2 linked regions of the Nothobranchius furzeri genome follow. The protein of the gene in region 2 purifies or fractionates together with the protein of the main gene of each other region. This does not show direct contact. Links are inferred from orthologs where the notes say so. Each region holds a gene or a part of one and is shown on either strand. Other genes may lie near its edges. The genes, in order: ctnnbl1 and aicda.

What was found.
Region 1: the proteins of aicda (region 2) and ctnnbl1 purify together in Homo sapiens (affinity purification with western blotting; 3 studies listed by BioGRID, with this or other methods). This does not show direct contact. The link is inferred for Nothobranchius furzeri from reciprocal best matches to the Homo sapiens genes AICDA and CTNNBL1.

The regions. Positions count from the first base shown.
Region 1 is NC_091755.1:51,815,477-51,822,697, forward strand, and holds the start of ctnnbl1 (beta-catenin-like protein 1), read right to left. Parts: upstream 4,844-7,221; 5' UTR 4,696-4,843; coding exon 4,666-4,695; intron 3,618-4,665; coding exon 3,399-3,617; intron 969-3,398; coding exon 862-968; intron 698-861; coding exon 558-697; intron 1-557. UniProt on the Homo sapiens protein: Component of the PRP19-CDC5L complex that forms an integral part of the spliceosome and is required for activating pre-mRNA splicing.
Region 2 is NC_091745.1:73,198,933-73,206,191, forward strand, and holds the start of aicda (single-stranded DNA cytosine deaminase), read right to left. Parts: upstream 4,463-7,259; coding exon 4,371-4,462; exon of another isoform or gene 1,531-4,370; coding exon 1,365-1,530; intron 1-1,364. UniProt on the Homo sapiens protein: Single-stranded DNA-specific cytidine deaminase. Involved in somatic hypermutation (SHM), gene conversion, and class-switch recombination (CSR) in B-lymphocytes by deaminating C to U during transcription of Ig-variable (V) and Ig-switch (S) region DNA.

The sequences.
Region 1 (7,221 bases), on a different chromosome or scaffold from region 2:
TTCTGTTTAATCATTCAAAGATCAATCAGATTGATTATTTCATATTTATAAGGAATAATCACATCTTATTGGTCATAATTAATTTGGAATAATTGCTACGTCAAATCCCACAGTTTAGATCGGGCCAGACAGGAAGTAAAACACAAAAGCAGTGTAAAACATCTGGAAACTTTCAAAATAAAAGTCACGTGCAGACAAAGGTATTTCTTTTCCTGTGGAACCCCCCTGGCCGATAAAAACAGCACAGAAAAAAGACCTTTTCGGATACTTGCAGCTGTCTTTCTCCTTGCGTGTTATTGAGTAGTCTTCTGAAATTACGCGTGGTGTTGTAATTCTCCCGAGATTTGTTGAATTCACAGGACCGACAGCCCCCGTTTCACGTCTTAAAGGCTCAAGGTTGGAAGGGAGCTTGCAGTTAAAACGCCACTATTACGTTACACGCCGCTTTCACATTCAGTGGATAGGAGGGGTGACTCAATAAAAACATTGTTTTTGTTTATTTGCACAGAGGAATGCTGTTTAGGATCAACAAGTTCATCAAATATCTGAAAGGATATCAGTGTTTTCATGACCAAGAAGGCCCAGCAGTGAGTGGACGGCATTGAGCTCCACCAGCAGGTGGTAGAGGTCCGGCATCGTGGCGATCACGTGCATTTCTTGGATGATGTCATTCAGATCCAACTCAGACTCCATGAACCTGGTTTAAAAACATTAAAACGCAGATTGTATATTAGCATCTTTATACATTTACCTTTCAAATCCCAGAAGTCGCTTCACTTGCGTTTAGCATGTTCCTACAGAAACTAACATTTAATTATCGTGATCTTTAAAATGAAAACGGACAATTATCAATTGCCTTACTTTTCCGGATTGTCTGGAAACTTAATCCTCAGTTCCTGGTTTTTGTACGACCTTTTCTCAAAGGTCAGGATCATTTTCTTCACTGAGCTCTCGTCAATCGGCTCTGCCTGTTTGATTAGCGCAGTCGGCGGGAAGAAGGGGAGAAATAGAGGGAAAAGAGGAATGGGGGAGAAGAAAAAGAGGCTTTTATTGAAGCAGCTGTTTGTGACAATAGCAAAGCGCCATCGGGGCGATCTTAATTATGTGAAAGGAGCAAATGAATTTTCTTCAATAGGAGGAATCTAAGAATGTTTCACAGAAACGAGAATGTGTTTGACCTCCTGATGGCTAAATGCCTTAAACTGCTGGAGCGATAATGACCAGTTAGGACATGTCAACTGCCTGACATTATGAACAATGCAGCACTTTGCTCTCAAGTACCTCCTGACAGAGTGAATCTTTTAAAAGGGTACAAAGTGGTATTATAGGAACTAAATTATAGATGTGCCGTTTTCAAACAGACTACACTTTATGGTATAACTGGAGCTAAGAATCCCAGAGAAACTCTTCTCATGCCCTCTTTCCTGTGACAGTGTTGGCAGAGAAAAGAATTAAATCAAATGCACCGCTTTGCTAGTCTGGTAAGCCATCCTACATGTAAATATTTAGTCTGGTCACAAGCTAATAAAGCCACCCCGCCATGGAGCTGAATCTACGGTTGTCTATCAAACTGTCGTCACTAGGACTAATCAAAGCAATGAACAATGCAACGCGCTCACCCCTATGGATGTCAGTCAATGAGGAAGTCCACCACACAACATCAAAGAAGCAAATGCATCTCTTTTTATTAAATAAATGACTTAAAGTGACGGTGTGTATTTTTCCTGGCGATAGGGGGAAGTACATACCTAAATCATTGGAAGTAAGCAGTATTTTTGTGTTGGAGTCAGACCTTAACAACAGATGCCCATTAGGGTCAAAAAGCCCTGGTTAGTGCAAACTTCAGCAAAATAACAAGCACATCAGACTCCCTTTCATCACTGGCAACACGTGAAGAGGTAAATGTGCAAAACAACAACATTTAACTTATTCACTACCAGCTGTTTCCTGATCAGAAAAGCCCTTCGCTGCCAGCGTTCTTCAGCATTTTTACTGTTTTTTTAAGAGTCATGGAACGTTGTGCACTAGGATGATGTCGACGCCAAAACTAACAAAACAAAGAGGAGACTCGCCTCTTACATCAGGAAGTTGTTACAAAGCTGCCAATATTTGTCAACAACTGGGCATCATTATATTTATCTTTAACAACATTTTGATGGATACTTCCAGAAATGAATGGTAAAAACTACACATTGTCTCTTTAAGTACATCCATCTTGTCGAGTCTCAAAGAAAGGCTCAAGTCTAAATTGTCCAAAGTTGATGCCAAGGCTGTTTCAAACGAGCACTGTTCCCTAGCCAGCGGCCAGCGCCATCTTTGTTGTTTTTCTCCATCGCAGCTCCAGCTCTAAGCCCACCTAACAAACGTAGAGCTCTGTGATTGGCTCGACACAAAACTGTTCAGGGCAATGATAGATGTACTGAGGCTACGATAGGGCGTGGCTTTGACCTGCAGGGTTGCAGTGATTAGCCGTGAAATGCTGCAGTTAACCCACCATAAAGACGTCTCCAACACCAAAAATAAATAAGACATTAACGGACCAAAACAAAAGTGAAACTGAACTGACGCACGCAGCAGAACCAGCTTCAGGAACCACCGGGACTGCTTCCTTTCCACATGAGAAACACTTGAAGTCTCCTGTGAGGAAATAGTTTAAATTCTCAAAGCTGCTAAAGGAGAAATTTAGCACGACGGCTCGTCCACCTGAAGAGCTGGCAAGAAAAAAAAGCTGCAACATCTCCTACATGTTGTCATGTCTGAGATCATCAGGCAGACAAATAATTAGAATATGTTAGTGACTGAAGGGATTTAACAGTAATATTAGAACAGTGAACAATACAGTGAACGACAGTTCATTTAGTAATTTTGTACAATTCCCTGTCTACAATAAGCCAGTATGGCAGGCCATTTTAACATTTAATCAACAACCCCTCTTTGTAAGTCCAGTTCTACATAATACAGCAATATAATTTATCCATGTCCAAATAATATTCTTACTGGTGAAATTGTAAAAGAAAGATATAAACAAGTAGAAATTATATTTAAGGATACATAATAACTGCACTAGCAGGAATTTAGTATCCTCTGGTTAGTTTTTATCAACAAGGATTATTAATTTAAAGTGAATTTACTTAATATTAATTATTAAACTACAAAAATATCTAAGACGTTCAATAAACTATGGATAGAACGATTATTTCTGCTCTGTCTAATTCTGGTGCATTAACCCTAACAATATAATGGTTAGATTACTAATTTGCTATTATCTTAATAATTCTAAATTTGCTGCAAGAAAACGGATGAAGCGTTCAGTTTAGGCAGATTAACACAAACAATGTAATAAATCATGCTTCGCTTCACTTAAGTACACACCCTTAACGAAAAGGACCTTTACCCACCTCAGGTTCTTCCCCATCCTGATCCATCAGTTTTTCCAAGATCATCTTTCGGTCTTCAGTTATTTCTTCAGTTTCTCTCATCTCCGCTCCTCCTTCAGCCTCCCTGTATCTAGCTAGCTCCCTCGCTCCCAGACCTTTCAGCTGCTTCCCTCCTCTGGAGTTGTCGTCTTCTCCTGCGCCTCCATCACCGTTCCTCAGGCGCTTGGCTCCTCTATCAGGCTAAAAGATGAAAATAAATGGATATAAGGTGAAAGTGAGTGGAGTGAGTCTCACATTGTTTAAATTAAAACAAAACTACAAACTTTGGTCAAAAAATAAAACAAAGAAAATGTATCTGGGCTGAACAGGATTTCTGAAAATGTATTTTCTTTTGTCTAATTGGTTTTTACTTATCAGAAAACTTATACCATACTAAATGACAACATAATATGTAAAATTATATAATAAACAAATGTAAACAATCAATTTAATCAGGTTAATGGTTACATTGCCAAACTGTAATTCACCATTTAGTTACAATAAATATGTGACCCATACATTTAACCATCTTATTTTGGAATAGCTACTTTCCTTAAAATATATTTCTCTGCAAAAAACGAAGAAAGCCATTAAAATACTTCTTATTTTCAATTAATGTGAAATAAATTTAAAAGAAAGCTAGCTCCGCTCCTTCTCTCGGGTGATGCTTGACACTATTATATGAAACTCCTTTGTATCAGGTCGTTTTGCTGTCTCTAAAAATAAACAAGCGTTTTCAGGAATATTTTAGGGATAAAAATCACAAACTATTTTACAATAAGACACAAATATAACAATAAAACTGTTAATAAAAACAGAGAGCTGATGCAGAGGATTGCATGTTAGTACAAAGTGTCATAAGTGATTATTTTATTGTTCTTTGTGGACAAAAACAAAAAAACATAGACGTAAACACTACTCTAGACAAAGGCATCCATTAGGAAAGCCAGGGGAGGCAAAAATAACCACGCAAACATAAACTGACGATCCTTAGCCTTCATTAGCTAACAAGCTAACTGTCACGTTTTTCTTCGATGAGAAAAGCTAAACTGCTCCATTACCATGGAAGCGCAAGGAATGGGTAATTTACAGACTCGTAGATCTCCACACATAAATAAATAAGAAACTAATCAGCTTTCTGGATTTTATTGGTAACTTTTAGCAAGGCTGTGTTGCTACATGCATGCCAACAGTTAAGAGATTACAGAAAGAGCGTTCCCTGCGTTGACTGCTTGAAAAAAATACATACCTGATAGTTCAGAAGCTCCCCGACGTCCATTTGTTCAGATTAGATCACTTCACCGTAAGATAAATGCACTTGGAATTAAGAAAAGAACCCTGCACGATTGGCTTTTAGCTAACAACAAAATCTGAACATGCCGGCGCTGTGCCGTAAAATGCTGGCCTGCCGTATGAAAAGAAACACTGTCGTAAAGCAGAAGCCTCCACAGTTTCTTCCTGCGGGGCGTGTGTGTGTGTGTGTGTGTGTGTGTGTGTGTGTGTGTGTGTGTGTGTGTGTGTGTGTGTGTGTGTGTGTGTGTGTGTGTGTGTGTGTGTGTGTGAGAGAGAGAGAGAGAGAGAGAGAATGAGAGAATGAGTGAATGAACCTTTGGTATAAAACTAGCTCTTGTTTTTTTGTAAAAGTAAAACAATAAATTCGTGTGTCAGAAATGTTTTTCCAAGGCCTCCAGGGCAACCTGCTGGCTTGATTGTCACCCGCAAGTCGCTTTGGACAAAAGCGTCTGCCAAATACGTAAACATAAACCAAGCAATTAATATGGAACTGTAATAATAATTAGCTTTTTTTATTCCTCTGTATCTAAAAGGGTTATATTACAAAGTAAATCAATGTAAGATTGTACCAAACAATCTAAAAATAAGATTATTATCTAGATAATAATTATGAAAGATGTAATGTTAATTCAAACATATGGTTGTTATGCCAGCCAAATGGTTATCGCTTAGGATCAATTTGGTAATTGTCTGACTCTAAAATCAGCACATCTGCTTTTTGCTTATTTTATTGCACACTAAAAATACAATACAATGAAGTATCAGAAATTGACACCAGCCTGCTTATTATTTTAATATCTTTACATGTGCATGAACTAATAAGCTCAGAAATCAATGTCTGTGCATCATAACTATGCTACCTTTGTGCTGACTTAATAACAATATGAGCTCCTTACCAATCCTCCTCAAAGCCACATGTATGAAGTTCTGGTCCAATGGGCTCAATTTTGCTGCATTCATAACCGCAGACATTTATATGCCCGGATCTCTTACTGTTCCAGACAAGCAGAAAATCACCCCTTCAGTGAGAAACATTGTGAAATGTCTGAGTGGAGAGCAGTGTCGACGCCTCTGTTGCCTCTCCAGTCTCTGGCCAGTGATCTGTGACAGTAGAGCAATAGAGACAACATTCAAAAGGAAGGCCACTGCCAAGCACTGAAGCTTGACGTCCAACCGCACGAGGGGCAAGGGGAGAGAGGGAAAGGAAATCAAAGCAAACACGAGTAATCTAAATGCTTAATAGCTCAGTTTATGAACAATGCAATAAGTTGTTACTCAACTATTGTTTTACTTTTTTTTTTTCAAAGATGACACCGATCACATAATGAAGATGGTGTCTCAAGATAGCAAGTTAAGTGCAAATGCGTGCAATTTGCTCGGTTTCTTGTATAGGAAACTTTGTTCTGATTGACTTAATGAACTGACCAGAATTGGAATGTTTATTATGTGAAATACCCTGAGACGACTCTTGTCGTGATTTGGCGCTTTGTAAATAAAATTGAATTGAATTGAATTGAAAGTGTAAAACTGTGAAATATTGGATAGAAACTTTCATGCATTCGATTGAAACTTGCATGTAATCAATGGTAACTTACATGTATTTGATTGAAACCTGCATTTGATAGAAACTTGCATGCATTTAATTGAAAAGGTTCATGCAATCGATTGTTACTTGCATGTATTTGATTGAAACTAACCTTTATTCAGTTGAAACTTGCATGTATGTGTTTGAATCAGATTCAAATCAAAACATCAGGTAACTGAGACTTCAACTCATTTAGGATGAATGTACCGATTGTAATTTTCCTCATCACAAGTGGTTTGATGTGAAATTGTCACAACAGTCTAAGCAGTAAAGTGATGTTAACTTGTCACTCATGATGCAAGGACCAACATGCCGACTTCAGAATTCCAGTTGTGTTTAATAGTGGAATTGATGACATCATGGCCACTATTTATCACTATTTCTTCAGTTAAACTACTTACATAAACTTCTCTGTTACGGGAATAAAGTTGGTCTCTGTTAAATGTTTATATGCTGCTTGTGGCTTTATTTTATATTTGTCCTCAGAAGTGAAGATACGAGATTCATCCTCTAAGAGAGCCACTTGACTGCAATTTTTAGACTTTTGACTAATCTTGTGGGTATTATTGCATTGTTTTTATACAAAATGAACAAAGATTGATGTATTAATCCTTCAGCCTGGAAGGAAATCTCTCTGTAAACCATATTTTAGTTCCCATTTCTTCCCAAAAAGTCCAAGAATTCTAGAAAAAAATGGGAATGTTTTTATTTTTATTATCATTTTTTATTACATTAGATTTTACTTTGTGTTGCCCCACCAAAAATGGCAAAAATATAGTTTTTCTTGCACAGTAAAGCATTAATGTTCTTATGATGTAAAAGGTTTTTCTCCTTATAGTTGAGCCCCATTGTACCCTGAAGCTTTTAATTTATGCTCAATTTAATCAGTTTGGCCTATTTTACTTTTGCTTTGTAAGATTTTTTTGA
Region 2 (7,259 bases):
ACATAGTCTTCTACCCCTATTTCCTGCATTAGCTTCTATTAGATGGAAAATTGCTCGGTTTCCGAAAAGCCTGACAGACCTACATCACACTGTCACTTAACATGAACTCACTTATCTTGGCTCATGACGGGGAAGGCTGTTGTTGTTTTAGCGTCCAGAAAACAGCAGAGAATGTCTTGGCTAGTATAAGCTAACGGTTAGCGTTAGCATCTCCACCACACAGCAGAACTTCTCCAGGCTTGTGGTATTTGTGGAGATAAAACATCAACGTTGCAAACAGAGTCAGTGGTAAAGTTGTGTTGCTGTTATCCTATCACAGGCGGCGAGATGTCCAAATATCAGGAGGTAAGACTCCAAATCCTGCCGTCGGAAGCTACTTTCTCCCCCAGCTGATTTCTACTTCCTGAAACAGGCACGCCGGAGCTTTTTTTCCCCAGAGAGCAACTTACAAGACATTCGTTTCTACTAGCAACTGCTGCAAATGTATTAAAGATACAAACAAGTTGACTTTTAAGTACCTTATGCCAAAGTGTGTTCTCTGAGCTGGAAGTCATCCAAAAAAAAACCTTCACTTAAAATATGCCCAAAAGTTAAGAAAATCAAAGTTTCCCATTCAAAAATGAAAAAAAAAAAACACTGTTTTTATGGTGTTTGGGGTTGCATCAGGGCAGATGTGATGGCTGTGTGGGGATCATAATCATCGGAAAGTGATTCAACATTTCAGAGCGGCATATTTAGACCTCAAGATGAAACACACATCCTCTTTTTTGTGCTCAATATTAATTCCACGTAGGCCTGCCTATAAAAACATCGCCATTTCAACATTTTATTGTATTTTAGCCCAGCCAGCCCACGTAGGTGGGCCCCATATAGAATATATATGGGGAAGCCGAATGGGCCCCATAAGGGTTTGTCCGCAGTTTCCATGGTGGCTCCACGGGGGGTTGCTAGCAAAGATTTTAATTTGCCAATGTCAAACCCTCTGAAAACCCATGTAGGGCCTGTTAAAATCTATGTGGGCAAAAACCTTTCTGGGCAAGCCCCCATGGGGCCACTGTGGAAACTGCAGCCAAACCCTGTTGGGACCCATATATATTCCATATGGAGCCCACCTATATGTGTGCTGGCTGGGAGGTTTGTGAGAAGGAATGGCTTCATTACAAAGCAGCCAAAACTTTGTTTTTTTAGTTTTAAAATGAAATAAAACTTTAGATATATTGTGTGTTTTAATGTCTGCAATGTAATAAAATCTGAAGAAAATGTAAGAATCGAAAACCCAATTTTCTATATATCATGATGTACAGTTTTATTACATAAAATCACAATGTGTTCAGTTATTTATCATCTCTTCGCTGCTTATTTACCTCCACATGACAGCCATTGCGATTGCGAAGATGTCCAAAGTCAAAGGACAAGGAGTCTGGGCCCGCTCGCCTTTTCACCACAAAACACAGGTACGTCTCACACCGACCTCTCGCCCAGCGCATGTTCTTATAATGATAGATGAACTTCTTTTTAGGCAGGAGAATGCTGGAACAAACAGGGAAAAGAGGAGATTTCCTTTTTTTATAAGCCAATGTCGCTCAGCAGACTAAAGACGGATCACGTTTAAAGAGCAGCTGTTTTCTCAATCAGAAGGATTAAATAAGGAGCTGAACTGTTTATTTATCTGTGAGAAAATCTGTTCAAATTCTTTAGATTCATTTGAAAAGAAAGCAAGACAAACATGTAAAGTCTGCGGTTTGCTGAATGTGAACAGTGGGCATTCAGACAACAACTAACATTCACTAACAAACCTTTCTCTCGCTCTCAGTTTCACAACTTTTAGTGAAACCAAGACAGTCGTTCATCAATTATTAATACTGAAACCTGAGCGTTCATGAATAAAATGTCATTAAAGGAGGCTAGTGTAGTAAATGCTTTAAGAATAAACTTCCCGATTCATTCTTTGAACCCGATTTGCGTGTGCAACGTGAGAAAAAGGCAGAAAAATGCAACAGATGAATAAAATGCATGTCTGTCTCACCTGTCGAGCTTTGTGATCATTTTGAAAGATGCGCTTTGCTTCGTCACTCGGGATTAAATGGAGGAAAATGAGAAAAAGTGAATGTGTGTGTGTGTGTGTGTGTGTGTGTGTGTGTGTGTGTGTGTGTGTGTGTGTGTGTGTGTGTGTGTGTGTGTGTGTGTGTGTGTGTGTGTGTGTGTGTGTCTTTAGGGGGTTAAGGAGGGGGGAACTGAGAATCTACACCTCTAATCATAAACATCCTGCATAAAGCAGAGACAGCTTCTGGTTGGACAGAAACAATTTTCAGTCAGTTTGAGCGGGCGTGATGCAGAAGAGGTGGTTGTCACTTTCTGCAGCACAAATCAGCTCAAAATTTGAATATTGCTTTATTTTATTTTATTTAAAGAAAGGATTTTTTTTTCACTTTTCTTTGATTTTTATTTATTTATTGCTAGAATGAGTAGTATGGAACTACGATTGGGACAATATTACAGGTAACTTGTACAAAGCTTTGCAACCAGTAACATATTTTGTAATTTTAACTTACGTTTTGTAGCACGCAATTCTTGTTTTGTAACACGTAACATTTGACACGTAACATGAAATTTTCATTTTGTAACTTGCAAAAAAACAATCAATGTACACGTTTTAAATCACAACTCTCAAAACACACATCTCAGTCTACAGTTAGAAACATTTTGTCCCAATTCTAGCTTCCTTCCCAAGCAACCAATGACAAGCTATGTCTGACCAGCCAATCATGAGTCTTGGATTCCTGCTCAAGACGATTCCTGTTGGAAGCAAGCTAGAATTGGGACGAAATGTTTGTAACTGTAGACTGAGATTTGTGTTTTGAAAGTTGTACATTGATTGTTTTCTGCAAGCTACTAAATAAAAGTTTCATATTACCATATTTTCACGACCATAAGGTGCACCTAAAAGTCTTAAATTTTCTCCAAAATGTACGCCGCGCCCTATGGTGCGGTGCGCCTATTGTGTTGTTGTGAGACGCAAACGTAGTAGGAGGCAAGGGGCGTGGCAAGAACGGCAAGGGGCGTGGCGAGAACGTGCGGACATGAACGAAGACAGACCCTGAATAGTTCAAAAGGGCAGGTTTGCGCGGTATGCTGAACATTGTCCTGACAACCCTGAGAATGGCACCTGCTGAGAGACACGCCTATGAAGCACAGTTTAAACTGCAAGCGAACAGCTACGCGGAGAAACACGGGAATAGAGCGGCGGCGAGAGAATTCAGCATTAATGAGTCCATGGTTCGCAAGTGGAGGAAGCTTGGGCTAATGTGTCTGCTTGTACTGTTGTTCGGGCTTTTGCAAAAGCCGGCTTCATTCACGAGGAGACGGACGGCAGCGAGACAGACTCTGACTGTGACGAGAGCGAAACTGGTGTGTGTGACTGTACTCTAGCCCAGTTGTTCTTATCAGATACAGAAGATGAGGACTTTGATGGATCTAATTATTAATTAATAGCACTCAAATAAAGCACAACCGAACTCATATTTGCTCCCGCTGCCTTTTTTAATAAAACACAATTCAAATCACACTATTTTCTTAGGCCTGTTAATAACACACATATGATTTTGTTCATGTGGAAAGTTTATGTGGTTAAATCCACCAACTAAACACATTCTGAACTTCAACACAGCGCATAAGAAGAGCACGAGCCGTCAGCGCACGCAATGAGGAAGTGCACGTGCGCTCTAAACCAGGTCTGAACCAGGACTAGACCAGTAAAGTGAAGCATGCTTTTGGCTGTTTGTAATTTTCACAACGTCTGGTTTGCACTGATATGTTCCGAGTCCCGAGCCCGCACCGATGCTTTACCGGTACGTTGTACCGCGCCCTATAACCCGGTGCGCCTTTTGTATGTGTTAAATACCAAAAAGACACCCGTAACTGAAGCTGCACCCTATAACACGGTGCGCCCTATGGTCGTAAAAATACGGTACGTACCGAAGTTACATGTTACAGAATGAGAATTACATGCTACAAAATTAAATGACCTGTTACAAAAGGAAAGTTAAGTGTTACAAAATGTGAATTACATGCTAATTAACAAGAGTCACAGTTACAAAACTTGGTATTGTCCCAACCCTAGTTCCATAGAGTGGCAGATTACACAGCAGCACAGACTTTTTTAAAGGTGTCGAACACTGAAAAGCCATTTTTAATGATTATTTCTGATTAGAATGGGTTACTCAAGAGTTTTTCATGCAGGATGAACATGAAAATAGTCTCCTACACATAACTCCTGCATTAGCTTCTGATAGAAAATAGATGGCGAATCTCCAGGATTAGAAAGTCTGGCAGATCTACGTCTCACTGTCACTTAACATTCATGGACTCACCCATTTTGGCTCATGACGGGGAAGGCTGCTGTTGGTTTAGCATCCAGGAAACAGCAGGGAACATCTTGGCTAGTAGAAGCTAGAGTTAGCATTAGCAAATTCACCACACAGCAGAACTCCTCCAGGATTTGGATAATTGTGGGGATGAAATGTCCGCATTGCAAGTCAGCGGTAGAGTTGCATTGCTGTTATCCAATCAGTGGCGAGATGTGCAAATATCAGCAACAACCTGCCGTCTGAAGCTCAGCTGTGATGTGGCTCACTGATGTGGTTCCTGGAAATGATGCACCGGTGGTTTTTTTACCCCGGACAACGACTAACAAGGTATTCTTCCTTAATAGAAACCACTGCAAATGTATTGATTAAACAAGTGAACTATTCCTTTAAATCCTCAGTGTTTTCTGATATTTTTTCCCCACTGGAAAATTTAACCAGTTGGATGGAAAACTTCCAAACCCCGATTTAATTCCCTTCAGTTTTCCAAATTTCCTTTTAAACTTGCACAAATGTCCTCACCTTGATTGACCTCCTGTAACCCTGCCCCTTCACTCTCCTCATGTCATTAAAGATTCCCGCCTAGCTTGTCCCCCACTTCCTCTGGCCCTCAACATTCTGTGGAGCCACAGGCGTTCCCAGACCACAGAGGCCTTAACTCTCTTGTCTCCTGATCTGGGTTTTCCCAAACTCTGTCGTCTGGGAGCAGATTTGTAGTCGTCCTTCTTCACCCAACGTGTCTGCTGGACCACCTGACCAACCGCAGCATGTGTGTGTGTGTGTGTGTGAATCTCGCTCGTGAGCCTTTCAGACATCATCAGCGTGTTTCCTTTGCTCTGTCTGCTCTCTCGGTGGCATCCGGCTTTCCCATGACTCCCCTCACCCTTTGGTGCACTCTGTGGCTCGGGGAATTCACCGTTTCCCAGGGTGGCTGTTTTTGGAGCTCATCTGTGTGTTAGCCATGCCATTAACACAGTCTATATGCTGTACATCATCTGGAACAAATTTCTCTAATTGATCCTATGATTGTGTGGTGGCCCAACGCTTCAACTGATTCACAGGAGTGTGTCTGCATGCTCTGTGCAGCCTCGCATCTTACTGACAGCGCTCGCCTGCATGGATCCTTTTTTCTCCCCTGAACTTCCAAGGAGCTGATCAAACGCCAGACTGTATGTAACCACTTCCCATCCAGCTCTCTGGGCTCAACCGCAGCTGACCAAGGTCATCTCTCAGTCACACGTGAACGCTCACGTGCACTACCAGCCCTCCTCTCATGCACTGTCTGCGTCTTGTGTGCCGGAGTTGTCCACAAAGACCAGACATGTGCATTTAACCTAAAGTCAGAGGGGAGAAAGCGAGTGTAGGAAGTGCCAAGTCACATTTTCCGAAACCCACCCGCCCACACACACACACACACACTCACACTCACACACACATCGGTACCGTGCAGACACATAAGACCACAGTTACAAGCAGACTTTCTTTCCAGTGTGTGAGCTCACATCTGTTTCCTGACAACAATAATAGCTGCAGATCAGGCGGGCAGAGGCTCCGCTTGCAGGTGTCTGCAGCTCGGCAGCAACGAGGAAACAACCTGATGAATGACCAAAAATAACCGCACTGAGCCATTAAATCTAAAAAGTTAAAGTCCCATTAGTTGTCACACACACAGGTGTGTGTGCGAAATTTGTTCTCCGCATTTGACCCATCCCCTGGGGGAGCGGTGAGCTGCAGACACAGCCGCGCTCGGGAACCATTTGGTGGCTTAACCCCCCAATCCAACCCCTTAATGCTGAGTGTCAAGCAGGGAGGCGTTGGGTCCCATTTTTTCAAAGTCTTTGGTATGACCCGACTAGGAGTCGAACCCCTGATCTCCCAGTCTCAGGACGGACACTCTACCACTAGGCCACTGAGAAAGCTACAGCTAAATCAGGGAGTGTTCAGCTGAAGGAAAGTTAAAAGTGTCTAAAGACTAGAGCTCAGTGACTCAGCTCTTATGCCTGCAAGATAAATCAGTGTTTTCCAAAAAGGCAAACCTCACATGTGCATATTGTAAAGATGGTTTGTGTTTTTCATGAAAAAACGAAAGTGCCGTGCAGGATTTAGCAGTTCTCTCAGGGCCTATATTCGTCTCCACACAACAGGTGTGCAAACATCCGGCAGTGTTTTATCTGTGGCTGAATGCTGCGACACTGAGATGGTCTGAGGTTAGCAGGAGGGTCGGTCTGCTCAGAGGAAAGCGCGAGAGCTGCTAACCATATTAAGGTTAGCCTCAGGCAGGAGGTCGCGTGCAGTTTCACTCATGAGCTGCTTGTCTCCTGCAAACCACACAGGATTTCTGTGTGAACGTTTGATGCACTGTGAGCTTTAGGACATTTAAAACATATTAGTAACACATTTTCATTAGAAGCGTTTGGATTTAGATGACGATGAATTCTGCAGACTAATAAACCCGCAATTGTGTGAAAGTGAGTGGAGACAGACGAGGAGCGCTCGGATAAAAGATGCAGATTCACATAAAACCACACAGATTTCCTATACAGTAACTGTAAACACCGACACATCTGTACGGTTTCAGAAAGGAGCGAAGGCGCCCGTACGTAGCTCAGCTAGAGAAACAAACTGAGCAGGAGACACCTTTTGCAGAAGCGTTTTATTTTATCACGTGTAGTTATTTGTACAGCACACCTGAGACGTCGTAATGTTTTTGCATAAATAAATCATGAAGACTGTTATCAAAACAGAAAGATGCCGTTTCAAATGAGAGATTTGAGTTTTAGTAACTCATATAATAAATAAATACCTGCATAAGTTAAACAAAGTTCCACAAATTAATACATTTTGCACATAATGAAAAAAAACGACCATAGGAGGCGTTACCACACTGAGAAGACA